Regions from separate parts of the Mus musculus genome. Here regions 2, 3 and 4 are each reported to be linked to region 1. The links are microRNA targets in miRTarBase. Many come from high-throughput screens and were not tested one by one. Region 1 holds a microRNA gene; each other region holds the end of a gene's coding sequence.
The links. Region 1 holds the annotated microRNA mmu-miR-139-5p (UCUACAGUGCACGUGUCUCCAG, at 3,693-3,714, opposite strand). A microRNA usually pairs through its seed, bases 2 to 8, with sites in the 3' UTR of a target mRNA and lowers its output. Matches are read on the target gene's strand: a 7mer-m8 pairs with bases 2 to 8, a 7mer-A1 pairs with bases 2 to 7 and ends in A, and an 8mer does both.

Region 1 (7,000 bases):
TTGATCAGTTTGCTGTGCCTTTTTAGGCCAAGGGCAAGAAAATGGCGGTGGTGGTGATGGTGGTAGAGGGAATGAGGTAAGATAGCTTGGGGAGAGTTGGGGCACCAGCAAGGAGGGGTTCTCCATCCTTGCCCGGGTAAGTAGGATGCAGACTAGTAGAGTTGAGGCTCCGGGCTTGGCAGCCATCTCTCCATCTGCTTTGGAGTCTGACCTGCTCAAGAATGAGGTGTTAGCTGTGGGAACGATTGAAGGAAACAGGCCACTCAGAGGGGCCTGTACAGCTCGCTGAAATGCCAATTGCACAAATGAACACCCACCTCTCACCCCACCACAAGGGTCTGAGAGTAACTTAACCTCCACTACACCAGCTGGGGGAGGGGAGTTACATTCGAATCCTGCCTGGGCACAGGACAGAACTGCAGCCTTGGGGGAGGGAGCAGCTGTGAAGAGGAAATGGGGCAATTTCTGAAATGGAGGCACAGTAGGGAGCCAGCCTCAAACAGTCCTAGCACCCCAGGACTCTCAAGGGAGGGAAAAACAGCCATTTTTACCCACTTGTTTGTCTGTCCTCCCTCGCCCCCTCCCAACCATGTGCCACATAGGCAGGCTGTCAAGTGTACACCTTAGCTCACACCTCCATGTAGATGGCTCATATAGGCACAGACAGAGAAATGCAGTCATACGTCCAATGAGTACAGTCAGGACTAGTATTTAGGAGTATGCAGGCAGACACACACACACACACACACACACACACACACACACACACACGGGGGTGGGGGAACATAGCACGTGTGCACATACACAAGAGTCCTTGCTCATTGTGGGTGGAGGCTGTCACATTTCCTGTCCTTGCAGCTTTTGTGAACAAACACCAGAGTAAATATCAAAATATCAGCATAACAACCAGGCAATTTCCCAGACCCCAGGGGAGAACCTGTGGCGTATAGACAAGAGCAATGATTTCCAGCCCTGTCCCAGATTGACGACAGAAGCTCCATGTGGCCTTGAACACACCCCTTTCTCTTCTGAACCTTGTTTTCCTCCTGAATGTAAAAGAGTCTTTCCACTCTGCGACACCTCTAGTTCTGTGGTTTTATGGACTAATTTGATGAGGGTGACTGGGTAGGTGGATGGAGGGATGCATGGAATGGGTGGGTGGGTAGATGAGTGAGTAATTAGGAAAATAGGTGGGTGGGTAGATGGGTGCATGACTGGATGGATGGATGGATGGATGGATGGATGGATGGATGGATGGGTTGATGGATGAGTAGATAGGCAAGTGGGTAGAAAATGAGTAGATAGAAGACTGAAAAAATGGGAAGATGGTGGGTATGTGAACAGATGAGCAGATGAGAAAAATCAATGGATAGATGGATGATTAGAGCAGTTAGATGGCAGATAGGTGGGTAGATAGGTAGGGAAAAGGGAAATGGGTGGGTGGGTGGACAAATGGGTAAAGAGATAGGAAATGGAGGGGAGGCAGGTGGGTAGGTGGGTGGGTGGGTGGGTAGGAAAATAGGTGGAGGGTCAGTGGTAGTCTGTGGACAGTAGGTGGAAGAATGGACAGAGTTCTTTTGCTCTCTGCAGCTCCCTTACCTGCGGCTCTCTACCTGCTGCTGTGGGCTGAGACTGCCATCAGCACCGCAGACAGCGCCATTCCTGTGTGCTGGTCTTTCTCCCTAGATACCATGAAAGGGGACAATGCTGTTGGAACCAGGGTTTCTCTGAAACCTGGGCGGTTGCCAGTTTTCTGAAACCTGGGCCTGAATCAGCATTTGTGTGTTCGACTGGGGAGAGCAGAGGGCCCAGATTGAATTGCTTCTAACTCCTTCCTAAGATCATATGAAACCAGAAATTTTGGTCTTCTCTCCTTTGGGGCCATCCTTAGGGACAGATGGCCTTGAGTAAGGGGTCACTGACAGAAGATGCTGTCTTATTCTGCATCTATAACCCTCCATGACTTTCCTAACTCACAAACCTGCCATCTGCTCGCCCTGCTGCTGGCACCTGGACTCCCTACAAGAAAGTAATAACATGGGACTCCAGAGTAAGAACCAAACTGTACCCTGGAACCATTTCTGCCGATCCATCTTGCTCTGTGTCTCCTCCTGGCCTGAGGTTAGGGGCTGACCTCACAGACTGGAATCTGATATCTTCCTCCAAAGGGAGATTCCCTGGGAGCTCCTCTGCCTGTCTGCTTTTTTCCATCCCTCTGGGTCAGGCTCTTCTGGTCCCTCCGAGTGCTTCTCTGCCTCTCCCCATCATACCCTAGGCGATGTCCATCTGTCACACACTGCTCTCCTGTCTTGCCATGTCATTTCCACCTCCACATCCTGGCTCTCTCTCCGGGAAGGCTTCTCTGCCCACCCTCCTTCTCTTTCCTGCATATCCCCACCCCAATCACTCCTGTCTCTCCTGCCCACTCCTCCCCCAGATCTCCAAGAAATCATCCTGAGAACATGGGGGGAGAACATCAACAGACAGAATGCAGCCATGAATAGAGGTGCCAGAAAGTGGTCACGGTAGGGAAAACCAGGAGCCTGGAGCAGATGCCACCTGCCCCCCTCTCTGTCTCCATCCTCTTGTTCTGGAGAGCAATGCACACATTTCCTAATCTTTCCTGGAGAATGGGGAGTGCATCTATCTCCATGCCCAGGGCACACCTCCATTAGCCAGAGCTAGGTTACTTAGTATAACTATTTAAGAGGACTCCTTGAAACTCAGAATAGGAAAGTCCCTAGCCCAAGCCCAAGTCCAGAAGCCCAGTTTTCCTCTCTGGCTCTTCACAGCTGCCCAGACACAAGGCAGAAAACAGAGGAAGCAGGAGAAGGTGGCTCCTTTCCCTCCCCACCGCCCACGCCTGCCACCTGCCCAAAGAGCTGTTTCTAACAGACCTGTCACCTGAAAATATTACAAGAGCTGCTTGTGTGTGCTAACACTTGCATCCACGACTTCCCAGTAGCAAGGCTGAGCTGGGCCAGAAGCAAAAGGAAAGGAAAGAGACTAGGTGATGTTGGGCAACCCAGATGCCAAGTGAGCCACCTCATAAGCCCTGAGTGACTCTGGCTATGGGGAAGGGAAGGTACCTTTCTCAGGTACTGATTGTGGTTGCAGATGTCCCTCAGTGGTTTCCAAAGTACGGCATGGCCCAGAGTCACCTGGAGGACTGTTGAAATACACAGTGCTGTCCCCACCCCAGAATTTCTGCATCAGCTGGTCTGGGAAGAGGTTGATGAATTTGCACTACCAACTCCCCAATTTCTAGCTGCTGCTGGCCTGAGACGTGCCTTTCACTCACCCCACTTTAGAGGCACAGGGGTGTAAAGACCGGGATGTAGGGAAGGTAGATCCTTTCTCCAGTGAGGGTAGCCATGGGGACAGCTGGATGCTACCCCCACATGAAGAGACTCCACAAGAAAGATCCCCAAGGAGAGGAGGCATAAGGGTGAGAAAGGAGAAAAGGAGCTGTGGCCATCGTTGAGTTGGTGACACAGGGGCACGTGGAAGGAGCCACCTGCAGCTCAAGAGCCAAGTACTACAGGAAGGGGCCCCCTTGTCCTCCTTTTCTCTCTCCCCCACCCCCTTTCTTTTGCCCACCATGCCCTCTTCCCCCTTAGCCCACCACCCTTCGAAGACTCTGGCTTCAGTTGTTACTCCAACAGGGCCGCGTCTCCAGCCTCCGAGCCACACTGGAGACACGTGCACTGTAGAATACACCTGCGCCTGTCCTGGCGCCTCCCAGGGGAACCTCCACTCCCTGAGGGGGACCCTTGGGACAACTGTTGGCTTCTCTCATCCCTTACCATAGCTGGTCCCCCCCTGGACCTCCCACTCCTCCCCAACCAGGCTGAACTTCTACCCCAGGCACTCCCACTGTACTGACCCCTTTAAAGCCATCCAGGGCCAAGTGTGGTGATAGAGAGTGGGAAGGAGGAGAAGCAGCCAGGTGGGAAGGCAGGGGTTGTTAGTCCTCTCAGACTGACAGTCTACTCTCCAGTCTAGAAGGGAAAGATTAGGGAAATGGAAAGAGGAGGGAGACAAGAGCCCAGTATCGGGAGGAGGTGATGGCCCTGGCCTGGAAGCTTTAAGATGAGTTGAGTTGGGTCAGACTTTGACTTCTCCTCACCCTACCCATCTTCAGTTGCCTCCTCCACACAGTAGGACCACTCTGTCCCCATAGCCCTCAGGTTTCTAACCAGTAAGGCCCAGCTCCCATACATGTCACCATAGTCTCCTCACAATTCCCGTCATCTTGGTTTCCTGTGGTCTCTAACCTTCCTGCCTCTGTGACCATGAGAGTTGAATTGAATACAGTGGGACAGTCACTGGGGACTGTGGTGAGTATCTGTGACTCAGAGCTGTGTCTGGGGAGATGTTTTGGCATCAAGGAAGCTTGGGTACACTGTTCCCCAGGGTGTACAAGAAAGAAGAGACTCTGGGAATCAATACCCCGAGAAAGGGTCTCGGTGAACTGGCTGGCCTCCTGCTCCGGTTTCTATGAGCCTGAATGTCTACGACCCCACCTCTCATGTGGCCTTGGAGATAGGACCAGAGCTTGACCCAGCAAGCCTAGAAGCCTCTGCAAGTCAGACATAATGGTCCACTCAGGAGAAAGGAATGTCGAGTGACTAGCTGGACCAGTGTCAGGAAGGGAAGTATGCCAAAGGAAAAGATATGGTCAGACAAGAGTGGGTGGGTGAGAGAGCCAGTGATGGTCTGCTCACTCGGACCCTCACAACTTGATGGATGCTCCTTCCCGGTGCTGTGTGTCATCACCTTGCCACACTGCCCTCTCTGGCTCCCCCATCAGGCCAGGAGCTTTTGGGGGAAAGGACAGCATCCTGATTGTCCCATAGCTCTTCTGCTCTTAGCATCATCTAGTCTCCAATGAGAGCCCAGAAATGGTGGAGGCCAGCGACCTCCTGAGCAGAGAAGTGGAGTTCCTGGAGGTCCCAGGTGGGGAGACAATGGCGGTCTCTGTATCCCAAGTCTGGCGTGATGAGAGACGTAGACAAACAGCCCACGGAATGAGAGGATGCTTTTCCCTGAGAACTTTTGACAGCATTTTCAAGGTATCTGGCAAGCCAGGAGACCTTCTGCTCTTCAGGATCATCTCCAAGTGGGAAAAGCCTAGGGTCCCAGGAAGAGCAGGTGAGCAGCACCTCTTATTCAAGGACGTCATCTACATGGGGAACACCTGTCTCCACCCCAGTCCTCCTGGGAATTCCTATGAGACCAACGTCTTTAGACCTCAGGTGTCATGACATTGGATGCCCAGTTTGGTATGGGGTGTATGGAAGGTCAGAGGAGACAAAAAAAAAAAAAAATAGCCAGGTTCTCCCCTAAAGGCATGGGGCGAGGCCCTCTCTCCTGTGGCTTTGGACTTCTCAAGTCCTGCTTTGGCCAAGGGATAGACTTGTCATCTCTCCAATGTTGGAATGGGACTGGGTGTCTCTCTCTAGGCCTGGGTGGAGCCTCTTGTCTCCCGCTCTTCCATTGTCCCCTTCCCTCCTGTGCCCACAATAGATAATAAATGCTAAATGGCACTGACTTGACACAGGGCGATGTATGGCTTACAGAAGGGCAGGAAGGGAGGGCTGACCAGGGGTGCTGGGCAGAGAACTAAGTGTCCCATGGTACCTGCCTGGTGGTTGGTCCTGAGTGTCCCCAGCCCTCCCAGTACCTCCCCAGGGACCTCTGTGTCTGCTTGTCTTGGTGTGTCTCTTTGGTGTATGTCGATTCCACAGCCTCATGTTGCTTCCTCCTCTGACTGTATTTGGCTCCATCCTCACAACTTGGCTCGTCCCAACTGTTCCCCAAATCCCAGGAGAATGGGAGTATGAGACATACAGGGACAGAGACCAATTCAGAAACAAGGAAACACGTGAGAGTCAGAAGGGGATAGGAGACAGGACTGTCGAGGCCAGGACCAGCCGGGGAAGACCCCCAACATACAAGGAAACCCTTTAAGGAAACCTAGGGAGGAGAGATTCCTCCTCTACGCTGACTCCTGCCCTTCTTTTCACTCTCTCTGCCCCTGCTGGAATGTGTGAGCACTTTTATTGTTCCTAAAAATAGCCCTTCTTTACTGGGGGGGGGGGGGTGCCGGGGGGGCTGGTGTGAGGAATCTTCTGGAGAGGGTTCATCTCAGGCATGCTCCTGTCTTTGTGTTTCTCTCTGGGCTCCCTCACCCTGTGCAGCACTTTGCTAAAACATAAGTGTGACCCACGAGTTCCCACTCCCCTGTGGAGTGGCCCTGTTCCCTGTTCCTCTGAGGTCTGGGTTCCTAGATTGGGAGGAGCTGTTGGCAACTTTCCCATGGCAGCTCCAGAGCAGCATCCAGAGCAGAGGACACTGACGTTTTGAGTTATTTCTCTGCCCAGTCTCTTCAAACTCAGGCCTTTGCTCAATGGGTGACTTTCACCCATGACCCTCTTTATCCCTTTCAGATTGGCACTCTTGTCCCCCCATTTCCTACACCCCAGTATCCTCTCTTCTCTTGTGACCTTTCAGGCCCAGCCCTGGCCTGGTTCAGGAGCCTGTCTGGTTCCCTGGCTCTCATCTCTATCTCTTCTCTCCCTGCTCCTTACATATAGCAGGGCAGGGGCTAGGCCTCAGGGACCCAGCACATCCTCCAGGGAACCATGAAGTTGCTGGGGAAACCTTGTAGGCTCCGGGGGCCCCATGTATTGCATCTGTACTCTTATTATCCCCTCCAGGTCTCCACACCCCCATCCTATTTTCATTTGTTCTAGATCCCAAGTGTCATTGTCTCTCTCAATCTCCAAGGGACTCACCTCCTCCCTACCTCCATTTTTCAGCTGAGAGAACCAATCCCCAGAGAGAGGCACAGCAGAAACTGGCCAGGACCTTCGTCACTGTGCATTGATGTACAGGATCCCAGCTGGTGGGGTTCCAGGGACAAAAGCAGGCTCTTCATGCACTCATCCAGCCCCACCCAGCAGCAGGCTGGCATCCAAAGCTATTTATTTGCCTT
Region 2 (7,660 bases), not on the chromosome of region 1:
TCCCCACTTATTCTTAGATGCCAGTACTGATGAGACTTCCAGTAAGCATTGTATGATGAGACTTTTACATGCTGTCTCACTGTTACCCTGAATTGCCTGGAACTCATAAGGACAATGTTCCCCCCACCACCACCCAGTGCAGGGTTGTGTGTCACTCTAATAGACTATATTTACGTTTTGAATTTTTTTTTTCCAAGATAGGATTTCACTATGTAAGTCTGGATGTCCTGTAACTCACAGAAACCCACCTGCCTCTGCATCCCAGATGCTGGGATAATAGAAGTTAAATATTTTTAAAAATACTTTTCGGGGATGGAGGAGGGGTGTATGGCCTGCGTCTGCAACAGCACAGTGCAAATGTGGAGATCCGAGGGAAATGTGGTGTCCTCTCACTGTGTGGGGACCAGGGGATCTTCAGCTTGGGTTGCCATCTGCCAAGTACCCTCACTGCTGAGCCACTTCCCCAGTCCCACATTTAGTATTTTATTATAAAAATTTCTGCCGGGCGGTGGTGGCGCATGCCTTTAATCCCAGCATGTGGGAGGCAGAGGCAGGCGGATTTCTGAGTTCAAGGCCAGCCTGGTCTACAGAGTGAGTGCTAGGACAGCCAGGGCTACACAGAGAAACTCTGTCTCAAAAAAACAAAAATAAAGCCGGGCGTGGTGGTGCACACCTTTAATCCCAGCACTTGGGAGGCAGAGGCAGGCGGATTTCTGAGTTCGAGGCCAGCCTGGTCTACAGAGTGAGTTCCAGGACAGCCAGGGCTACACAGAGAAACCCTGTCTCAAAAACAAACAAACAAACAAATAAATAAAAATTTCATGGGCTAGAGAGAAGTCCTGAGTTCAATTCCTGGCAGCCATATAGTGGCTCACAACCATCTGTAATTGGATCCGATGCCCTCTTCTGGTGTGTCTGAAGACAGCTACAGTGTACTCATATGAATAAAATAAATTAATAAATCTTTAAAAATCACTACCAGCAATTGCAGTGGGTGCTTTGCAGTTACTGATGATAATGGGTATTTCCTTCAGACTTGATGTATGCATGGTCCCATTTAATCCTGAGACTAATGGGTTGCCCATTCCAGAGATGGGGAAAACAGAGATAGAAATTAGTACAGTTGCCCCAGGAGGCTGGATCGTTGTTACCTCTGAGTCTGCTTGGTATGCATGAGTCCCCACATCTAACAGTCAAGTCAGGGGTTAGACCCACTCTTGTGTTTGGTTGTTTTTTTTTTTTTTTTTTTTTTTGGTTTTTGGAGACAGGGTTTCTCTGTATAGCTCTCTGGCTGTCCTGGAACTCACTTTGTAGACCAGGCTGGCCTCGAACTCAGGCCTGTCTCTGCCTCCCAAGTGCTGGGATTAAAGGCATGTGCCATCACACCCAGCAGACCCACTCTTTTTTTTTTTTTTTTTTTTTTTTTGGTTTTTTCGAGACAGGGTTTCTCTGTGTTGCCTTGGCTGTCCTGGAACTCACTCTGTAGACCAGGCTGGCCTCGAACTCAGAAATCCGCCTGCCTCTGCCTCCCGAGTGCTGGGATTAAAGGCGTGCGCCACCTCGCCCGGCAGCAGACCCACTCTTAATACTAGTGTTACACTTGCGTCTAATAGAATGTCTTCACTACCACCAAAATCTGAATAAACGTGAGCCCATTTGTCAGTGAGCTTTTCCTTCATGTGTTCTTACCAGTTCCCCTACTATACTCTCACAGGAGAAATGCAAGCTGGGCAAAGTGGCACAAGCCTTTAATCACTTGGGAGACAAAGGCAGGCAGATGATCTCTATGAGTCCAGCTGGCTTATGTAGTGAATCCCTGGACAACCAAAGTGACATAGTGAAACCCTATCAGAGAGAGAGAGAGAGAGAAAGAAGGGGTGGGGGGAGAATCCACCATGCCCTAGCGACTGGCTGGTGCCTGTTTTAACATTTATCAGTTTACATTGCAATGGATTGTTTGCAAAGCAAAGCTGTTTTCCGCTTTAAAAAAAAAAAAAAAAAAAAAAAAAAAGTCCTCCAGGATTAGCTAGTTCCTGGCAAACAACTGAAATTCCAGACTTGCCCAGTGAATGAATGAATGAAAGACCTAATCCAGCCACTTCTCATCGCAGCAGGGCTCCCATCAAATGCAGCATGGAAGACTGGGTTTCTACTGTAGGGCTCAGCTTTCCTCCTAAGGCCTCAGAGTCACTGGGTCATGCCCGGGTATATTGTAGAGTGGTTGCATCCGGAAGAGGGGGAGGAAGGCCCCGATGCCATAGTCAATCTAGGCTTGGGTTGGAAAACAAGGTTGAAGTTACTTATTAGCAGGTTAAAGGGTCAAGGGTCGAGGCGAGGGGGCTGGAGGCAGAGTAGACCGAGCGGCCATCAGAGAACAGTTAAGGCGGAGGTCCCCTCAACTGCAGAGCACCAACTCTCATCCCGAGATGTTCCACCAAGTTTGGGCAGCTCTGCTCTCTCTCTATGGCCTTCTCTTTAACTCCATGAATCAGTGCCCTGAGCACAGTCAACTAACTGCGCTGGGAATGGACGACACAGAGGTATGTACTGAGGGAACGCCTATATAGTAGAAGCTGAAAGTCTTGAGTAGGTGGGTCGCTCAAGATGGCCAGAAAGCATGTTGAAAAAGGAAGGGAGGAAGAGGGTGTGTGGGAGGCACTGGTGGCTCCTTGTTGCAAACATTGAAGGCCACCAGAATCGCAAGCCCCAAGTCTTGCTCTGCTGACAGATGGGGATGTTGGATGGATTTTTGTGATGCACCCAGCAACTCATCCTTTTGCTCCCTTCATTGCCTCTCCAGACCCCAGAGCCCCACCTGGGCCTGTGGTACTTTATTGCGGGAGCAGCCTCCACCACGGAAGAGTTGGCAACTTTTGATCCGGTGGACAATATTGTCTTCAACATGGCTGCCGGCTCTGCCCCAAGGCAGCTCCAGCTTCGTGCTACCATCCGCACGTGAGTGTCGAGCAAGGAGGCAGAGACACCACTGGGTGTGTTCTCTGCCCCAACTGTGAACAGTCACCACACCCAGCATCAGGCTCCCACTTTCTGCCCACTCAATTCCACAGCATTACAAGTCACTTTCTGGAGACAGAATGGGGCCTCACTATCTCTTAGTGGCTCAAAACCCAAAGAGCTAGGGTGTGGGGAAGAGAACGGTGGAATAAAGGATGTTACTGTGTGGTGGGAATGACACTCCATCTTCCTATCTTAACACTGCCACCTCTGCAGGAAAAGTGGGGTCTGTGTGCCCCGGAAGTGGACATACCGATTGACTGAAGGGAAAGGAAACATGGAACTCAGAACTGAAGGTTGGTTCCCACCAGCCCTCCCCTTGTCTCGTCTCCCTTAGCCGTTTCCCCTCGGGATTGAGGCTTGGACCTAGGACCTCCTGCATTCTTAGGAGGCAGGCATGCTATCACTGGGCCGTAGCCCTAGACCCTTTCTAGTTTGAGGCGGTTTCACTAAGTTGCCCTGATGGTTGTTGAGCTCACCCTGTAGCACAGGGTGTTGAACATGGATAGGCCTTGAATGTGAAACCCTCCTGTCTCAGTTTCCTGGGCAGCTGGGATCATGGTCCTCACTAGTAGGCCTGGTTCAGTGAGTCTGCATCTGTCCTCCTTTTCTCTCCTGATCCCAACAGGGCGCCCAGACATGAAAACAGACCTGTTCTCCAGCTCGTGCCCAGGAGGAATCATGCTGAAAGAGACGGGCCAGGGCTACCAGCGCTTTCTCCTCTACAGTGAGTGGGGATACAAGGCAGCAAATGTCCGAGGGAAACTGGAAGGCTAAAGAGCCCCCCTAGTTGGGGCTAAAAAGCCCACCTAGCTGGGGCCAAAAAGGCTCCCTAGTTGGGGCCCTTTAACATTCTTTCAGAACAGGTGGGCACTTCAGCAGGCCTTTAGGGAGCTGGGAAGCCAGGGCTGAGAAGCAGGAACACTGACTGGCCTGAATTTTCCCCGTCCTTCCAGATCGGTCACCACACCCTCCAGAGAAGTGTGTGGAGGAATTCCAGTCTCTGACCTCTTGCTTGGACTTCAAAGCCTTCTTAGTGACTCCCAGGAATCAAGGTGAGGGGTTGAAGTCACCAAGTCTCCTGTGGGTAAAGAGCTCTGTGCAATGTCAGCAGGGGCCGTGGCCAAAGGCAGACATTATCAGAATGGGTACACTGACCCCTCTAATTCTTATGGGCTAGAATGGTACCAGAAGGACTCATGTGCAGTTAGGAATAGTGACACACACTGTAACCTCTGCCACACAGCTGGCAGAGGCAGAAGAATTGCCACAGATTTAAAGCCAGTCTGGTATACAAGTGAGTTTCAGGACAGCCAGGACTATATATATAGTGAGGCTGTCTTTCAAAAATAAAAACGAGGGGCTGGAGAGATAGCTCAGCAGTTAAGAGCACTGACTGCTCTTCCAACAGTCCTGAGTTCAAATCCCAGCCACCACATGGTGGCTCAACCATCTGTAATGAGATCTGATGCCCTCTTCTGGGGTGTCTGAAGACAGCTAGTGTACTTACATAAATAAAGAAATCTTTGGGCAGGAGAGAGCGGGGCCAGACAGGCGGGGCCAGAGAGAGAAGAAAAAAATGTCTGAAGTGTACTTACATATAATAAATAAATCTTAAAAAAAATTTAAAAAAAGAGGTGAAAGATAGGTTTCTTAGAATTTAGAGCAGTGGTCTTCAACCTTCCAAACGCCCTTTAACACGGTTCTTCATGTTGTGGTGACACCCCACCCCACCCCCCAACCGTAAAACTATTTTGTTGCTCTTTTGCTACTTTTATGAATCATTTAAGTATCTCACATGCAGGGTATCTGTACGAAACCCCTGTGAAAGGGTGGTTTGTCGTCCCCCCCCAAGGGGTCATGACCCACAGCTGGAGAACCACCGCTTTAGATAAAGGGAGGAGAGGGCCAGATGTAGAGTCTCCTACCTTACTCCAGTGCCAACGGCACTCCTCCCCTGGACGACCACCCTCTTACTCTCTCCCTCCTCCCCCCACAGAGGCCTGCCCGCTGTCCAGCAAGTGACCAGTGACTTCACCCGTGTCCTAGACAGACAAGATAGGAGCCCAGCTTCGAGTGGAGAAGCCAGCGACTCCTGCCCCCTCTCGTGGATAATAAAGATGATTTGTCAGTCCTCATCTCCTGGGTTTTGTCTGCAGACATCAAAGATATCATTTCTCCACTTTGACCCTCCCCTCCCACCCCACCCCCTGACGGACACCTCCACCACCTCACACCCCCGGCTGTCAGGCATCAGGAAGGACACTGAGTGGAACCTCTCACATTAGACTGGTGTATTTAGGATGTAGTGTGGCACATTTATTGCTGAGTGAGCAATGCCTGAGTGGAGAGGCAGTCACGGTGCTTCCCCCACTGCCCTTCAGAGCTGCCAGCTCTTCTGTACTGGTCCTCATGCCAATCCAGCCCACAGCAGCTCTGTTTCTTCTGGCTCCCACCGACCTGCAGACCCTCACTGCAGGTACTGCGGCACCTGAAGCCCCTTCTCCCTCAAAGCCTCACTCTCCTCTAAACGGTTCTAGTCCTAGGATCCAAGGGACACTACGGGTCTCCCCATCAACTCTTAATGCAGAGATCTCTGTCCTGCCTCTGGCCCCATCCACCCCTGCGCTTGGAAAGGGCCCTGTGGTGTCCGTTCTCCACGGTTGCTTTTATTCTATTTTGCTTTTAAAAAGTGGAGGTGGAAATTTAAAAAAAAAAAAAAGTGAGTAAATGTAAAAGCAAGAAATAACAAAAGCTGGTGACTTTGCTGGGCATGGTGGCACATGCCTTTAATCCCAGCACTCGGGAGGCAGAGGCAGGCGGATTTCTGAGTTCGAGGCCAGCCTGGTCTACAGAGTGAGTTCCAGGACAGCTAGGGCTATACAGAGAAACCCTGTCTCAAAAAAACCAAAAAAAAAAAAAAAAAAAAAAAAAAAAAAAGCTGGTGACTTCAATGGTGATGTCCCATTGTCCATTACTGGCCATCCTAGCCAGCCCTGTCTGTCAAGTGTGACAGGAGCTCCTGTGCCTGAGTTTCCTCCCCATCCCTGAGGTCTCTGTGCTTACAATCTGGGTTTCCCCACCTTCCTCCTAAAGGCCACCCCACTATCTTTACCCTTTGCTCCCACCCTCTCCCAGTCACAACATCCTTCCGGGACCTTCCCTCTGCTCCTTGGCCTCCCTCTCCTGCCCCTCACTCTCCCAATCAGCGGTCTCCTCATCTTCAACAGGTTCCCGGAGGCTGACAGCCAGCACCAGGGCCTGCAACAAGCCAAAGAGGCAGGCAAAATGCAGGGGGTGGGCAGTAAGTAAGCTCAGCACAGCGTGGAGCCCATGTAGGGCGGCCAGGAAACATAGCAGCCCATGAAGCCAGAGGCCCACAGGTCCTCGAAGGCCCAAAGCATCCAAGATGGCTCGGAGTGGCCTGGAGCACAGAGCCAGCAGGGCTGTGGCAAGCAGCTCCAGCAGGTGCAGGGTCAAGTTGGTAGAGATCTGCAGGTACTCCTCTGGGTCCTGCAGGTAATGTGAAGGAGCCCCTGGTTCCCCCCGTAACCAACGCAGCAGCTTCTGACGGCGACCAGGTTTCTCCAACAGGGCTTCTGGCCCAATGGTGCCTAGTCTCCCTTGAGCGGACACTCCAAGGTTCTTCACGCCACCTGAATCCACAGGATCCCAGTCTAGTTTGGGAATGGCCCCTCCAGACTCCAGTCTTGCAGGCTCTTGAATGGTAGAGGCAGTCTTGTCCCGCTTGAGGGAATCCATTCTTTTGCTCCCCAGTTGATCCACTTTGAGGTCCCTGCTAGACTCTGGAGCAGCCCCGGGGGGTCTCCGTGTTCCTGAATCCTTGGTCTTAAGGGGCCCCACATCTCCCATGGTCTCTGGAGCACTGTCCCAGTCACTCCCCGAATTCTCCGGGGAGCTGTCCACCCATCTGGGTTCTGGGGCAGGCAAATCAGCCTTTGTTGATTTCTTTCGACCCCAAGGTCGAGGTAGCCAGCCACCAAGCCGTCGAAGGAACATGACTGAGCTGTGCAATGCGCTTCCCAAATCTGTGACCACTTCCTGACTCTGCGTAAGATTCTCAGGATCTCCTCCGAAGCCAGAATCAGTTCCGGTTCAGAAGAGGTGTCTGCTTGGTGATATTGTCCTACTCTGAATTCAGAAAGGACTCACACAGCCCCAAGTGTGGTAAATGGCCTGCTTCCGTGTCAGTCTAAGGGAAAAGAAATCCATTTGCCACCCCACACACTAACAAGACTTCTAGAGCCCGATAAGGCCAGGGTCACCCCCACAATGTTCTGTGCTTTCAGATTTCCTTCCCAGCAGTCAGCACCCCAAGTTTCACTCACCAAGACCACATCCCAAGGTGCCCCAGAAAGGGGAGAGGTGGTGTTCCATTGAAGGAAAGAAGGTGGTGGCCCAGGGTCCTTCGGTCCTGAAACTGAGGAACCTTCAAATCGCTGCCCAAGGGAGCTCAAGGAACAGGAAGTCTCTGTTGAGAGGAAGACGGGATGGAAGTGTCTAGCGAACTCCAGTCAGTTAAGTGCATCCCTTAACTTAGGAAGCTATCATTCCAAAAAGTGGCCCTACTGTCCCGCGAGGGCGCAGCTGAGACGCGGCCTCCGCAAGGTCAGAACAGAGATGT
Region 3 (7,660 bases), not on the chromosome of region 1:
AGAGACAGGCGGACTTCTGAGTTCGAGGACAGCCAGGGCTACACAGAGAAACACTGTCTCAAAAAAAAACAAAAAACCCACAAACAAACAAAAACAAAAAAGTGGGGGGGGGGTCCAAACAACTTAAAGGTTCCCCACCTCTCCTTAAACTCGGAAGCAGCTGCTAATCCGCATTTAGGGATATAGCCCAACATCCTTGTGTCTTGGCTTTTAACTCTCTTTCAGTATAAAGTGTGGGTAAAGCCGGGAGCAGAGCAGTCCTTCTTGTATGGAAACCATGTGTTGAAATCCGGTCTGGGTCGAATTACTGAGAACACATCTCAGTACCAGGGAGTGGTTGTCTATTCCATGGCGGACATTCCTCTGGTGAGTAGCCACGGTAGCCATCCATCACGGCAAATGCCAGGTACCCACTGGAAAGGATGAAGTTTCAGTCAGCAGCTCGGAGACTGACTTCTTGGCTCCTTTCACAGTTCTCAAAGATACAGCTGTTTCAATATAGTTTTTGTTTTGTTTTGTTTCCTTATAAATGAATGTCTGTTCTTTCAATTCCAGGGTTTTGGGGTGGCAGCAAAGTCTACCCAAGACTGCCGAAAAGTGGACCCCATGGCAATTGTGGTGTTCCACCAAGCAGACATTGGGGAGTACGTACGCCATGAAGAGACACTGACTTAGGACGGTCATTCCAAGAACATTTTGCTGTGTGAGAGGACTTAGCTTTGTTTCCTGTGTGCGGCCATCAGATTAAATCTGGACAACACTGAGATACGCAACTTGGGTTCTTATCAACAGAAATGGCGTGAAAACAGGGTCTCTGGCCCTCTAGAGTCAAAAGCAGGTGGATCACAAGTATAAGGCCAGCTCAGGCTACTTGGAGAGTTCAAGGCTAGCCTGGGCTACATAGTGAGCCTTGTCTCAAAAATCTAAAACAGACAAACCAGAACCTGAGAGTGTTTTGTGTGAGTAAATAGAGTGTTTCTGTTTTGTGTCTGCGTCGTCTTTGTTTGGATCAGAAGACTTGCTCTGAGTGATGGTTTCTAAGTTACTTCACTGAGGACAGGAGCCATCTTACTGTTATCTGTGATAACACTGTTTTCCAGGCTCATGATAGCACAGTGGACTTTCTATTGTGTGTTAATGTTAAAGGTAGAAACGGCCATATGAGCCTCTGGTTTTACATATGGAATTTAATAAATTTTAATGGTTTTATATTTGTTATTTCATATGTGTGAGTGTTTTGTTGGCATGTACGTATGTGCACTGCTTATGTGCCTGGTGCCTAAGGAAGTCAAGGTGATTTCAGACCTGGAACTAGAGTTACTGGTTGTGAGCCACCGTATAGGTGCCAGAAATTAAACTCAGGTCCTCTGCAGGGACAGCAGTGGTCTTAACCACTAAGCTATCCTAATAAATTTAATAGGTGCATTTTGGCTATTTTTCTTGGTGTTAAGTGGGGTATAGCGTGGAAGCGTCTGTATTCAAGCCTCAGTTCTGCCCCTTGCCAGCTGTGGTGGTGGACAAGTTCTCTGCTTAGAGAGGCTTCATTTTCTTCCTTTGTTAAAAGAAAAAACCCATGACCCTGCCGTATGGTGGTGCATATCTTTAGTTACAGCACGGGGGCTTGAGGGTGAGGCAAAGGCAGATGGAGCTCTATAGGTTCAAGGCCAGCCTGGTCTACATAAGGAGATCCTGGCCAGTCTTAAACCCAAAACCCACAAAACTGAAAAAACACCTCCAGTCATCAGTGTAACAGTGATATTCAGAATTAAAAATAGCAGTTGTAGGGGCTGGTGAGATGGCTCAGTGGGTAAGAGCACCCGACTGCTCTTCCAAAGGTCCGGAGTTCAAACCCCAGCAACCACATGGTGGCTCACAACCATCCGTAACAAGATCTGACTCCCTCTTCTGGAGTGTCTGAAGACAGCTACAGTGTACTTACTTACATATAATAAATAAATAAAAAATAGCAGTTGTAAAGCATCCTGCATGGGATAGAGTTATCCTGTCTCAAAACAGGAAATTGTTCGTGCGTGTCTGTGTGAGTATATCCTGCTTGGGTAGCGGTATCCTCAGAGGGCAGAAAACACTTGGGATTCCTTGGAGCCTGAGGTAAGGACAGTTGTGAGCTGGCCATTGTTGGTGTTGGGAACCAAACTTCAGTCCTCTAAAAGAGAATGTTCTTTCTGAACTGCTGAGCCATCTTCCCTGTCTGTGTTAAAATGATTTTGTTACTTTTTTTTTTTTTTAATTGAAACAAGTTCTGACTATGTATCTCTGCTTAGAATGTACCCAGGCTGGCCTCAAACTCAAGGATCCATTGATTCTGAAGTGCTGAGATTAAATGGGTATACTACCATACCAGGCTCAATTCCCCCACCTCCCTTTTTTTTTTGTTTTTGTTTGTTTTTTTTGTTTGTTTTGTTTTTGTTTGTTCTTTTGAGACAGGGTTTCTCTGTAGCCCTGACTGTCCTGGAACTCATTCTGTAGACCAGGCTGGCCTCAAACTCAGAGATCTGTTTGCCTCCAAAATACTGGCCTTAAAAAATGTGCCCCACCATGCCTAACTTCAGAACAATTTCTTTTTCTTTTTTTTTGAGACAGGGTTTCTCTGTATAGCCCTGGCAGTCCTGGAACTCACTTTGTAGACCAGGCTGGCCTCGAACTCAGAAATCCACCTGCCTCTGCCTCCCGAGTGCTGGGATTAAAGGCATGCACCACCACACCCGGCAGAACAGTTTCTTAAGATATGATCAGGTTATGTCAGTTTTAGGGGGCATTTTTATTTTTTGAGACATTTGTCACATTATATCTAAGTTGGTCTGAAATGCTATGGGACCCAGGCTGTCTTAGCCTCTCAGGTAATGGTATTATAGGTCTGTCGCCACACCAGTTTCCAATGGTAACATCTTTTAAATAAAGTAAAATATTTCCAACCGTTGAAGGGCACTACAGGCCAAGAAGATAGCTCAGTGGACAGCCTGGTAGGGTGGATCAGCCATGTGCCACCAAGCCTGATGCTGTGTTCAATCCCTGGGACAAGGTTGAAGGTGGGGACATTGCTGACCTTTGTAGTCCTCTACAATGGATTAAAATTTTTTAAACTCCAAAAAGTTGTCTCCGTATCAACTCTTTCAGAGCTTTTAACGTACTTTGAGATATGGTCTTGAACTGCCTAAGGCTGATCTTAGTGCTTCCTCTGCAGTGCTAGAGTTCAGATTTGAGAGCCACCACCCTGATTTCTGTGGTGCCAGGGATCGAGGCCCAAACTGCATACAAAGCAGGTGCTCTTACTGAAGGGAGCTTCATCCTTGAACCCACTTCCAGGGTTTCTCTGTGTAGCCCTGGCTGTCCTGGAACTCACTCTGTAGACCAGGCTGGCCTCGAACTCAGAAATCCGCCTGCCTCTGCTGGGATTAAAGGCGTGCGTCAGTGAAGGCTGAGGGACAGCTGGATAAAGATGTTTCTAGGCTGCGGATGGGGTTACACACCTTGCCAGCAGTGGGGATGCAGAATCTCTTTAGTTTGGGGTGAGTTGGGTCTACCCGGCAAGTTCTAGTAGCCAAGGCTACATATTGAAACCCTGCCTCAGATAAACAGTACTTTTAGCTTTTAGCACTTAATTCGTATTTTAGAATGATCAGCAGCAGAACTCACTTTTTGTTAAACATTTGCCTTTATTGGTGGACACAAGAGAAAGGGGACATAAGTTGACCCCCCCCCCAATAACTTTCCAAAGCCCATTTGATCAAAGCTTTGACAAATAGGCTATATGTTAGCATCTTGGCTTCTTTGTGTCAGTAGTTGAAGCAGTAAAAAGTCTTTTCAAGAAATAGAGCTGGAGGGCCCCGGAAAGAACAATAGCAAGGCTCTGAGCTGTGGACCACCAGTTCACATAGGTGTAGTTAGACTGCAGGAGGAAGAAGTCAGCCACTTTTCTCATCCTGGCATAGTTGTAGAAGCGCCACATGTGGAAAACTTGGTTCTCCACCCTTTGTGTGCTGTCCTGTGGGAAGAAGGAAAGCCACTCTGGCTGCTGTTGGGTCTTACCTGCCCTGATCTAAGTGACCTGTGACTCAGGAGTCTGAGAAACAGTGCTACAGCAGTTGGTAATACATGGTACTTTGACTTTGTTTGAGAAAAATTGGTGGAGTAGTTTTAAAGTTAGGAGGCATAGTTAGGGCTTGGGATGTACCCAGTGGTAAGGAGGATTGCCTAGTACCCACAAAACTCCCCACATCCTAAACTCAGCAGCCTTGAACATTCAAGGTAAGCACTTGGGCTACTTCTCACATAGCCCAAGCTGGCCTCAAACTCAGTGTGTAGCTAAGGGTGACTTTGAATCCTGATCTACTCTGTTGAGGTTACTTGTATAAGCCACTATCAATTGAGATGCGTGTTCCACATGCCGTCACCTTCCTAACCAATACCTTGTCCCTGCAGACTGTTAGGTTTATGAGACCACCAGGACAGCTATCACCAATACTTTAGGATGGATAGAAATCAGAATCTTGCTGGGCGTGGTGGCGCACGCCTTTAATCCCAGCACTCGGGAGGCAGGGGCAGGCAGATTTCTGAGTTCGAGGCCAGCCTGGTCTACAGAGTGAGTTCCAGGACAGCCAGGGCTACACAGAGAAACCCTGTCTCGAAAGAAAGAAAGAAAGAAAGAAAGAGAGAGAGAGAGAGAGAGAGAGAGAGAGAGAGAGAGAGAGAGAGAAAGAAAGAAAGAAAGAAAGAAAGAAAGAAAGAAAGAAAGAAAGAAAGAAAGAGAAAGAAAGAAATCAGAATCTTCATAGTTGTCGGGTAGTTCATACAAAACTAAGCAGTTTAAATCATGCCCAGAAAGTCCACTTGTAGCTACATGAAAAGAAAACACAAAAGCTTGTTTGCACACATTATCACCAGCACTGTGAGAGCCAAAAGGTAGAAACTCACATGTAGTCAGCTGGTGAGTGGATAGTCAGGAACAAAGCTGTACTTACACAGCAGGATGTTCAGAGCTAAGAAAGGGGCCAAGGACTAGCCAAGCATACTATATGTAAATTAGGTGTGACAGCTTGGGTCTATAATCTTAGCACTCAAGGTGAGGCAGGTGGATTGCTGCAAATTGAAGGCCAGTCTGAGCTACAGAGTGTGAGACCCTGTTATTTATAATAATAATAATAATAATAATAATAATAATAATAATTCCAGGCGGTGGTGGTGCATACTTTTAATTCCAGCATTCAGGGAGCTAAGTTTGAGGCCAACCTGGTCTACAGAGCTCCAGGACAGCCATAGCTACACAGAGAAACTGTCTCAAAAAAAAAAAAAAAAAAAAAAGAATCAGACTGGGCATGGTGGTGAATGCCTTTAATCTTAGCACTCAAGAGGAAAGTGGATCTCTGTGAGTTCAAGGCCAGCCTGGTCTACAAAATGAATTCAATTCAGGTCAGCCAAGACTACATAGTAAGACCTTATCTCAAACAAACGAAAGCCGTGCTTTGTGAAAGAAGGGACCATAAAAATCCACTTGCCTGCTTCTGTTTACAGAAAACCTACAGGAACAGTGCAACAGCGCTTCTAGGGTTAGGAGATTCTAGAGGGGATGGGGCAGTGAGGACCGTGTAGAGTTTCTCGCAGGGACGGGAGATTGTTCTGCTGTAAGTACTAGGGTAGCTGCACAAGTTTGTGAATGAGTATTACAAACAGGCAGTGGACTAGACAGGTCTGTTAGCCACTGTTTGCCCAAGCCTTGGTACCAGAGGAGCGCCGTGCCGCATAATGAGCTGAAGGGTTCAGCTCTTTTTGCCCATTTGGTTTTTATTATGAGTCCTCCCTTGTTCAGGCCACACCCCCAAGAATGCCCATCCCATTACCTTAATCGCATCCAGAGTGTCGTTCAGTTGCTTCCTTTGACTCTGCTTGTGATCCACCTCGGGCCCCTCATAGAAGACTCCGAAGTTGAGATACACTTGTATAGAACTGAAGCGATTCTGCTCATTTTTTAGACAAAGCTGATAGAAGCCTGTGGGAATTCCTAGATCTCATTACCAGGTCTTTAGTGCCCCATCCTGTCTTACATTCTCTGTTTAAGAGTCCTGTCTGTCCTGGAAGCACTCTGTAGACCAGGCTGGCCTTGAACTGACCAAGATATGCCTGCCACTCCCTCCCGAGTGCTGGGATTAAAGGTATGTGCCACCACTGCCCAGCCCTTATTTCTCAATTTCATAGAAATGTTTGACTATTATTGTAGCTTTGGAGATGAATACATACCTGTTTCTTGTGTAGCAAAGTTAATCTGGCCCCTTACATCCTGGGAAGTGTCAATAAGGAAACCCTGCGGGGTATGTGCCGTGGCAACAATGTGGCGGTCATGTGACATCCCGAGAATGCGCTGAACCTGCCATCACCGGTAAAAGAGAGAGAGAGAGAGAGAGAGAGAGAGAGAGAGAGATCCTTACTACATCACTCAAAAACCAGCAAGGTGCCAGGCAGTGGTAGCGCACGCCTTTAATCCCATAATTCCAGCCCTTGGGAGGCAGAGGCAGGAGGATTTCTGAGTTTGAGACCAGCCTGGTCTACAGAAAGAACAAACAAACAAACAAACAAAACAAACCAGCAAGGACTGATGCTGTATCTTGTTTGAGGCCAGTGCCTGGGCTACATGAGATCCTGTCTCCCCAAGAGCCCCCACAACCTAAAAACAAAAAACCAACAAAAAAACCAAAGTTACCTCTAACTTTAATATTAAGGTCCTTGGTGGCCTAAGCCCCTTTGGGTGTACTTGCCCAAGGGATAGGCACCTTCCAAAGAGGAACAGAATTGTCTGGGTGCATAGACAAAGCTTTGAGCCGGTTATTCTACAGGTTGTTAGGATTAGCACATGCAGGAGGTCTGACCTTATCTCACCCCATGAACTCAAGTGATTTCACTTAAAATCTATTATGGGACCCTTTTCTGTCTCTCTCTTGTTTCTTCTTTCTTTTTCTTTTTTTCTGTTTTTTTTTTCTTTTTTTTTTTTTTTTCTTTCAAGACAGGGTTTTTCTGTATAGCCCTGGCTGTCCTGGAACTCACTTTGTAGACCAGACTGGCCTCGAACTCAGAAATCTGCCTGCCTCTGCCTCCCAAGGGCTGGGACTAAAGGTGTGTGCCACCACTGCCAGGCTCGTTTCTTCTTTATTGACAAGTTTCTCTGTGTAGCCCTGACTGTCCTGGAACTCACTCTGTAGACCAAGCTGACCTTGAATTTAGAGATCCCCCTGCCTCTGCTTCCTGAGTTCTGGGATTAAAGGTGTGTGCCCCACAATTATGTGACTATTTTAGCACGTGTTGTCTTTCCTCATATCCGAGGAAAGCTAAAGGTTGCCTCTCTTGTCCATTGGATTGGAACACACTTCTGTAGCTTCCAGTTCTAGACCAAGCCATATGCTTTAGCTCCCGTTGCTGGCTGTTCATCCAAGTCTCACCCAGAGTTGCTCTCTAACTGAAGGTCCACTTGATTCACAAGTGGCAGCCACAGCCTCATAGAGAACCAGACCTTGGCTTCATCAAAAGCCTGGCTCACTTTATAAAAGGTATGGCCAGAGGCCTCCACGCACCTCGTAGCTGAAGTAGAGGTATCCCATCTGGTCAGCAAATTGCCAGAAACATTCGATGGCTCCTGGAGAGACCACGATGGCAA
Region 4 (7,641 bases), not on the chromosome of region 1:
CCAGAATAAAATTTTTCAGGAAACTTTCTTGCTCTCATTCTTTGTGTTTCTTGTCCCTCCACTCTCTCTCCCTTGCCCTAGGTCCTTGCTGATTGTCCCTGCAAGTCGAGGCAGAAGTGATTCTATGCTTTTCTTCTTTCACTGTGTGTGTATGTAGGACAGAGGTTGGTGTCAGGTGTTTTTCTCTGTCACTCTGTATCCAGGTCCTTGCCCAGTTTTCTCTCCACATTCTCACCCACTCAACATCTTTTGTTTCTCTTTAAAAAACAAGAAAAATAAGAAACATACCCCCACCCAAAAGTGGAAACCCAAATACACAAGTTAAAAACCAATAAGATTTAAAAATGCCCAAACAAAGCAGTATAAGACAAATAGTGTATGAAAACATCATTGAGTTAGTTTGTGTTGAACTGGGTGGGCATGGGGCCTATCCTGAAGTGTGGTTAACATACCCAGTATATTTATGATAGACCACAACTACAAGCTGAATAAACCCTTTTCTCTCCAAGTTGCTTTTGGTCATTAATTCTTTTTTAAAAAAAGCTTTATTTATTATTATATGTAAGTACACTGTAGCTGTCTTCAGATGCACCAGAAGAGGACATCAGATCTCATTATGGGTGGTTGTGAGCCACCATGTGGTTGCTGGGATTTGAACTCGGGACCTTCAGAAGAGCAGTCGGTGCTCTTAACCACTGAGCCATCTCGCCAGCCCTTGGCCATGGTTTTTATCACAGCAATAGAAACCAGACTAGAACCAGTAGCTGCAATGCTTGCTGTGTCCTTGTGGGTACACAGCAAGCATTTCACCCACTGAACTATCTACATAGCCAGAAACCACAATTTTGTCAACTCTAAATCATCTCTTAAGTTCTAAGCTCTAAATTGCTTGGTCAGCCTGTAGCTCTTACTGAAATGGTTTTTCAATGTTACTGAAGCCAAAGGCTTTTGAGCTGTTGTAGTTTTTCTCCCTCATTGTCTTCCATTGTTCCTTACCTTGTTCAGTTTTACAGGTCATTCAATTAAAAAACATATTTATTCACTTTCTTTCCACAGCTTCCTTGACTTTAAAAAAATATTTATTTTCTTTACTGTGCATTAGTGTTTTACCTGCATATATGCCTATGTGAGAGTGTTGCATCCCCTGGAACTGGAGTTACAGTTTTGAGCTGCCATGTCAGTGCTGGGAATTGAACCCAGGTCCAGAAGCACAGCCAGTGCTTTTAACTGCTGACTTTTTGTTATTTCTTTTGCCAGTGACCACCTTCTCTGCTCTTCATAACAGTTAACATGATTCTTAACACTGTTGCAGTTCACAAAACTAGGGTAATTAAGTTTGTTAGAAATTTGTTACCAACCTCTGTAGTTATCTTCATGGAGTAGGTTCTGCTACTGTGATGGTTTTTATATCCTTGGACCAGGGAGTGGCACCATCTGAAGGTGTGGCCTTGTTGGAATAGGTGTGACCTGGTTGGAATGGGTGTGGGTATAAGATCCTCACCCTAGTTGCCTGGAAGTCAGTCTTCCACTAGCAGCCTTTGGGTGAAGACATAGAACTCTCAGCTCCTCCTGCGCCATGCCTGCCTGGATACTGCCATGCGCCCACCTTGATGATAATGGACTGAACCTCTGAACCTGTAAGCCAGCTCCAATTAAACGTTGCTTTTTATAAGACTTGCCTTGGTCATGTTGTCTGTTCACAGCAGTAAAACCCTAACTAAGACAGCTACTTAAAAAAATGGTGGGTGTAATGGCACATGCCTTTAATCCCAGCATTTGGGAGGCAGAGGCAGGCAGATCTCTGTGAGTTCAAGGCCAGCCTGGTGGACCTAATAAGTTCCAGGCCTGCCAGAGCTACACATTCTCTCTCTCTCCCTCTCTCCCTCTCTCTCTCTCTCTCTCTCTCTCTCTCTCTCTCTCTCTGTGTGTGTGTATGTGTCTCTGTGCACTTGAGTTCAGTACCCGTAGAGACCAGAAGAGGGCAGGTGTTGGAGCCTCTGGATGTAAGTAAGAAGCAGTTGTGAGCAGACTCAAGTGGAAACTGGGAATTGTACTTAGGTCTCCTCTGAAAGAGCAATAAATTCCCCCTTCCCCTACCTCCCTGCCCCCAGAAAACAAGATGCTTTCAATATTTCTCAATAAAAAATAAAACCTCAGGCTGGAGAGATGGCTCAGCGGTTAAGAGTACTGACTGCTCTTCCAGAGGTCCTGAGTTCAATTCCCAGCAACCACATGGTGGCTCACAACCATCTGTAATGGAATTCAATGCCCTCTTCTGGGGTATCTGGAAATAGCTACAGTGTACTCATATATATAATAAATCTTAAAAATTATTTTAAAAAAGCTGTGGCAGTGTATGCACACACAAAATTAAGACAAAACAAAAACAAACCTCTATTTAAAACCATGGTTCTCCACCTTCCTAATGCTACGACCCTTTAATCGTAGCATGTTATGGTAACCACAACCATAAAATTATTTTCGTTGCTATTTCATAACAGTAATTTTCTACTGTTATGAGTCATAATATAAATATCTGATATTCAGAATATCTGATCTGTGACCTCTATTAAGGGGCTGTTGAAACCTTAGAAAGGGGTCACAACTGACATTTAAGAACCACTAATCTAAAGTATGAAAAAGTATTCACTAGCTAGTGTCCAGTTATTTTATTATTGAATGAGTTCTGTAATAAAAGTCTTAGAAATTTCAATTCTACCATCCCCTTTCTGTATTAAAAATTTTTTTGTTTGACTAAAAGCTGTTTTTTTTTTCCCTTTTTTAGTCAAAGTTGACCTGGAATCCCTAGAGATCCACCTGCCTGTCTCCCAGGTGCTGAAATGAAGTGTGTGTCATTTATAAATGCTTAGCCCTTCATTTGCAGTTTTCCTGTATGTAAAATATGTTTTACACATTAAATATCTTTCCACATTCTCTTTGGACAAATCACTACTGGCTTCTAATTCAAGTCATAATGAGCTAACTTTTGGAGAGAATTTTGACAGGCACTGAATGCTGTTTAGGAGAAGTCAAGAGAAGCTCAGGTGAACAAAGACCAAGTGTGATGGTTTGTATGTGCTTGGCTCAGGGAGTGGCACTGTTGAGAGGTGTGGCCTTGTTGGAGTAGGTGTGGCCTTGTTGGAGTAGGTGTGGCCTTGTGGTGTGAGTTTTAATACCCTTGTCCTAGCTGCCTGGGAGTGAGTATTCTGCTAGCAGCTTTCAGATGAAGTTGTAGAACTCTCAGCTCCTCTTGCACCATGCCTGCCTGGATGTTGCCATGTTCCTGCCTTGATGATACTGGACTGAACATCTGAACCTGTAAGCCAGCCTCAATTAAATGTTGTCCTTATAAGGATTGCCTTGGGACTGGAGAGATGGCTCAGCAGTTAAGAGCACTGACTGCTCTTCCAGAGGTCCTGAATTCAATTCTAGCAACCACATGGTGGTTCACAACCATCTTTAATGGGATCCAATGCCCTCTTCTGGTGTGTCTGAAGATAGTGACAGTGTACTCACATATACAAAATAAACCTTAAAAAAAAAAAAGGGCTGGGCAGTGGTGGCACACACCTTTAGTCCCAGCACTTGGGAGGCAGAGGCAGGTGGATTTCTTGAGTTCAAGGCCAGCCTGGTCTACAGAGTGAGTTCCAGGACAGCCAGGGCTACACAGAGAAACCCTGTTGGGGGTGGGGTGGGGGGAGGATTGCCTTGGTCATTGTCTCTGTTCACAGCAATAAAACCCTAACTAAGACACCAAGGAAGATGTCATGAAATTAAATCCTACAATTATTGCAAATGAGATTCAACATCATTTTCTCAAATAATGTGCTTTATTCTACTCTCTACTCCACCTTAACAATCCTATCCCTGTAGACAAATCTCAATTAGTCATGAGAATGAAGACATCAAAAACGCAAGTGGGTTTTCTTAGTGTCCTTATTTATAGCAGTCACTGTAGCAGTTCTCCCAAGAGAACTGACTGTGGAGCCAGTTGTTGGCTGAGCCACACATTCTGAACTGAGCCACTTCTCAGACCCTGCACTCTGACCTTGTATTCACAGCTTTTAGGCACACTGCATTGGTCCTCTCTATACAGGACCAAGTCTACTTCTAAGATTCTCATATTTAAAATTATACAAAAATCAAAATTCTTTATTTCCCCAAATTAATTTCTCTTTGGCATCCTGGACATAATCATATTGAAAACCCTAGCATGGGTTCTGAAACCCAGGGAGTTATGAACTCAGATCTGGGTACTACCAAACAATGGCCAAATAATTTGGGAAATGAACTGATTTTTCCTAATTTTGCAGGCTTGTTTTGAGTATTGACAGTATATGTGTGAAGCCTTTCTTCTCAGGAGTAGTAGGGAATAGACACCCTTGTCTTTTCTGACTGGCCCTAGAGATCTAGGCAGGTCCCAATACTTTTAGAGATTCCTTTCTTTTCTCTCTTTCTTTCTTCCTTCCTTCCTTTCTTTTTTTTTTTTTTTTCTTTCTTCCTTTCTTTTCCTTTTTAAGATTTATTCATTTATTTTATGCATGAGTACACCACCATTGCTCTCTTCAGACACACCAGAAGAGGGCACCAGACCCCATTATGGATGGTTGGGAGCCACCATGTGGTTGCTGGGAATTGAACTCAGGTCCTTCAGAAGAGCAGTCAGTGCTCTTAACCGCTGAGTCATCTCTCCAGCCCTGAAATTTTCTTTTTAAGAATTATTTTTAAAATTAAAAAAAATTAGGGCTGGAGAGATGGCTGGGCTGGAGAGATGGCTCAGAGGTTAAGAGCACTGACTGCTCTTCTGAAGGTCCTGAGTTCAAATCCCAGCAACCACATGGTGGCTCACAACCATCAGTAATGAAATCTGATTCCCTCTTCTGGAGTGTGTGAGGACAGCTACAGTGTACTTACATATAATAAATAAAGTCACCCAAGTGAAAAAAAAAATTAATCTTATGTGTATGTACTTTTGCCTGTGTGTATATGTGCACCACATGTGTGCCTGGTGTGGGCAAAAGTCAGAAGAGGACTCAAATCTCCTGGAGCTAGAGCTACAGATGGTTGTGAGCACCCAACTGAGGCTGGGAATAGTGCTCCAGTCCTCTGCAACAGTAGTAAGTGCTCTCATCCACAAAGCCATCTCTCCAGTCCTGTGAAGTTCCTTTATAATTATCGTGGCCACCATCCTAGACTAAGGCCTCTGTGTCTAACAGTTTCCTTGGGGACTGCAACATTCCATCCTGTAGGGAAGTTTCTTAAGCATGAAGGTAAACTCACAAGCTGCAGTGTGCTCTAGGTTTCTAGATTTGTGAGCTGTCATGGGTGCCAGAGTGGGCTTTGGTGATGCGGCTGCCTTTGAGACATCTCTGCTACAGTAACCCCTCACTCATATACGTGTAAATAATCCCAATAAAACTCATTGGTTCAACTTAGGGTTTGGTAGTATCCATACTTGTTTTGCCATGGGTCCCTTACCTGCCATTTCCCCAGGAAATTTCTTGCCACACAACATCCTATTTATCACTAGAAGATCTGCTGTGGTAGCCACTGGTACTGCTGACTTCAAGCCATTCCACACTGGTCTTTTTCTGACCATTCTGGAACTCTAAACTAAGCTGGCCTTCAACTCAGAGATCCAGAGGCCTCTCCCTCCCAGACTAAAGACACGCACAAGCACCAGACCACCTTGGTCTCCTTAAATAATTCTAAACATAGCTCCAAGGGGTTTTGTTTTTGTTTTTTCGAGACAGGGTTTCTCTAGCCCTAGCTGTCCTAGAACTCACTTTGTAGACCAGGCTGGCCTCGAGCTCAGAAATCCGCTTGCCTCTGCCTCCCAAGTGCTGGGATTAAAGGCGTGGGCCACCATGCCCCGCTGTCTGTGATCACATGATAAAACTCATTTATCTGCTAATTTGTGCATTTGTGTGCCAGCCTACCTTTCACCTGTAGCTCACACTGTTTCCTGGCAATGTTTCATGTGCCAGTGCTCTTCTGTTTTTAAGTCTGCAGTTGAGCCACTCACTAGGTGGTCCTCTTGCTACTCAAGGTTTAGCATAAGGTGGAGACAAGCAGTGTTCTCAAGTGATCTCTTCCCTGGAAAATGACTCCCAGCCCTTCCAAACATCTCTGTATGCTTACTCATAACAGTAGGAAACTCACCTACTGGTTTTCTTTCTTTTTTTTCTTATTTTTGGTTTTCGAGACAGGGTTTCTCTATGTAGCCCTGGCTGTCCTGGAACTCACTGTGTAGACTTTGTAGACCAGGCTGGCCTCGAACTCAGAAATCCGCCTGCCTCTGCTTCCCAAGTGCTGGGATTAAAGGCGTGCGCCACCATGCCTGGTTTATGGTAACCATGTAATGAGATGGTTTTGTGCATTTATAACCTTGTTCAAGCACCAATCACCCAAAATGAAACTCCACAACTAACAGTCAGTCACCCACAGTTCCATGCTCCTAGAGTTCCCAATAACTTCTAATTGGCCTAGTCTCTACAAAGTTACCTATTTTATACAAACAAAATCACACTATGGGTCTTTTGCTTGGTCTACTTCACTAAGTGTTTTTCAATGTTTCATATTCATCACTTTTTCAAAACCAGGGTAACTGCTGTACCTTCCTCTGACTTGGACAACCACCTACCTCAACAGATCATCTTTATGATGATCCACACTTATATAAGTACAAATCACAGCAAGAATTAAAGTTTTCATCTTTAATGAAATGACTGTGGAAATAACATATATTTCCATGACACCAGTACTACAGTCTTCGGAGTCACAGCAAGATACACAGAATTACATCCGTAATTACTATGAATGCCAACATTTCAGGCAGTAATTTCTGTTACATGGCAAACAAGATCAAGAACGCAACCATCAAACAAAAGAGACCCATAGCTTCAGACAAGGCAAATCCCAGGATAGCATATGAGAACAGCTGCTGCTTCAGTGAAGGGTTTCTAAAAGAGACACAACACAGATGACTGTTACTGTGAAGCAACGTTGATGTCAGCACATTGGGTAAATGGTAGAGTCAGATATCTAGTATGGGGATCTTTGCAAGTCTCATGGGGGTGCTATCTCCTATACCACTTTGCTTTTGTCTCTCAGAGTATTTTACCCACTCCTAATCATGTGGCATAAAGTCAGGGAGCTATCTTCGTATGCAAATATAAATCCTCAGTTTACACCACCTTGAGGGGTCCTGACATTTGTGATCTCCTTGACTCTCCTGACTGGTTGGAGTTATAGGCGTGTTCCCTAGCCCCTAGCTCTATCCTCACTTATTTAAGTGACCAGTGCACACACAGCTCAGAATATAATGCAAGACACAGCAGACACTTCATTCAAAAGGGCTACCATTATTTCATCATTTCCCTCTTTCCACGTCTACTTTCCCACTGAGTCTTCACCTTACTCTGACAGACATGATTACCTGGCATAACCAATGATAAGACTGCCAAAGACTGTTCCAATACCAGCACCAGAACCAGCAACTCCTACTGTTGCAGCACCTGCACCAATGAATTTGGCAGCAGTATCAATGTCTCTGCTGATTACACTGGTCTGAAACTCCCTTCGGATCAGCTGACACACACCATTCTGGGCCCCATTAAAAACTGTAGAGCCCTGGGAAGA

Region 2: miRTarBase lists D17H6S53E as a target of mmu-miR-139-5p. Seed matches in the 3' UTR shown: 7mer-A1 at 5,864-5,870.
Region 3: the mRNA of Nip7 is a reported target of mmu-miR-139-5p. Seed matches in the 3' UTR shown: 7mer-A1 at 2,482-2,488.
Region 4: the mRNA of Atp5g3 is a reported target of mmu-miR-139-5p. Seed matches in the 3' UTR shown: 7mer-m8 at 6,764-6,770.

Annotation. Positions count from the first base shown.
Region 1 is chr7:101,472,096-101,479,095 of GRCm38, reverse strand. It overlaps Mir139 (microRNA 139), which reads right to left and starts at 3,720; the gene lies at 3,653-3,720. The region is part of intron 1 of Pde2a (phosphodiesterase 2A, cGMP-stimulated); the gene reads right to left.
Region 2 is chr17:35,126,490-35,134,149 of GRCm38, reverse strand. It overlaps D17H6S53E (DNA segment, Chr 17, human D6S53E), which reads right to left. Exons shown (of 3, transcript NM_033477.2): 2 at 7,365-7,507; 3 at 5,295-7,228. The coding sequence starts at 7,035. The coding sequence ends at 6,154. It overlaps Apom (apolipoprotein M), which reads left to right and starts at 2,349. Exons shown (of 6, transcript NM_018816.2): 1 at 2,349-2,540; 2 at 2,801-2,955; 3 at 3,232-3,311; 4 at 3,644-3,742; 5 at 3,972-4,070; 6 at 5,015-5,153. The coding sequence starts at 2,427. The coding sequence ends at 5,040.
Region 3 is chr8:107,057,822-107,065,481 of GRCm38, forward strand. It overlaps Nip7 (NIP7, nucleolar pre-rRNA processing protein), which reads left to right. Exons shown (of 5, transcript NM_025391.2): 4 at 226-366; 5 at 556-3,110. The coding sequence ends at 675. Tmed6 (transmembrane p24 trafficking protein 6) reads right to left here. Exons shown (of 4, transcript NM_025458.2): 1 at 7,578-7,660; 2 at 6,253-6,379; 3 at 5,856-6,004; 4 at 3,663-4,003. The coding sequence ends at 3,773. Among named protein-coding and RNA genes, the nearest start is that of Tmed6, 4.0 kb to the right of the region's middle.
Region 4 is chr2:73,901,746-73,909,386 of GRCm38, forward strand. It overlaps Atp5g3 (ATP synthase, H+ transporting, mitochondrial F0 complex, subunit C3 (subunit 9)), which reads right to left. Exons shown (of 5, transcript NM_175015.3): 4 at 7,439-7,632; 5 at 6,702-6,962. The coding sequence ends at 6,848. Among named protein-coding and RNA genes, the nearest start is that of Atp5g3, 5.8 kb to the right of the region's middle.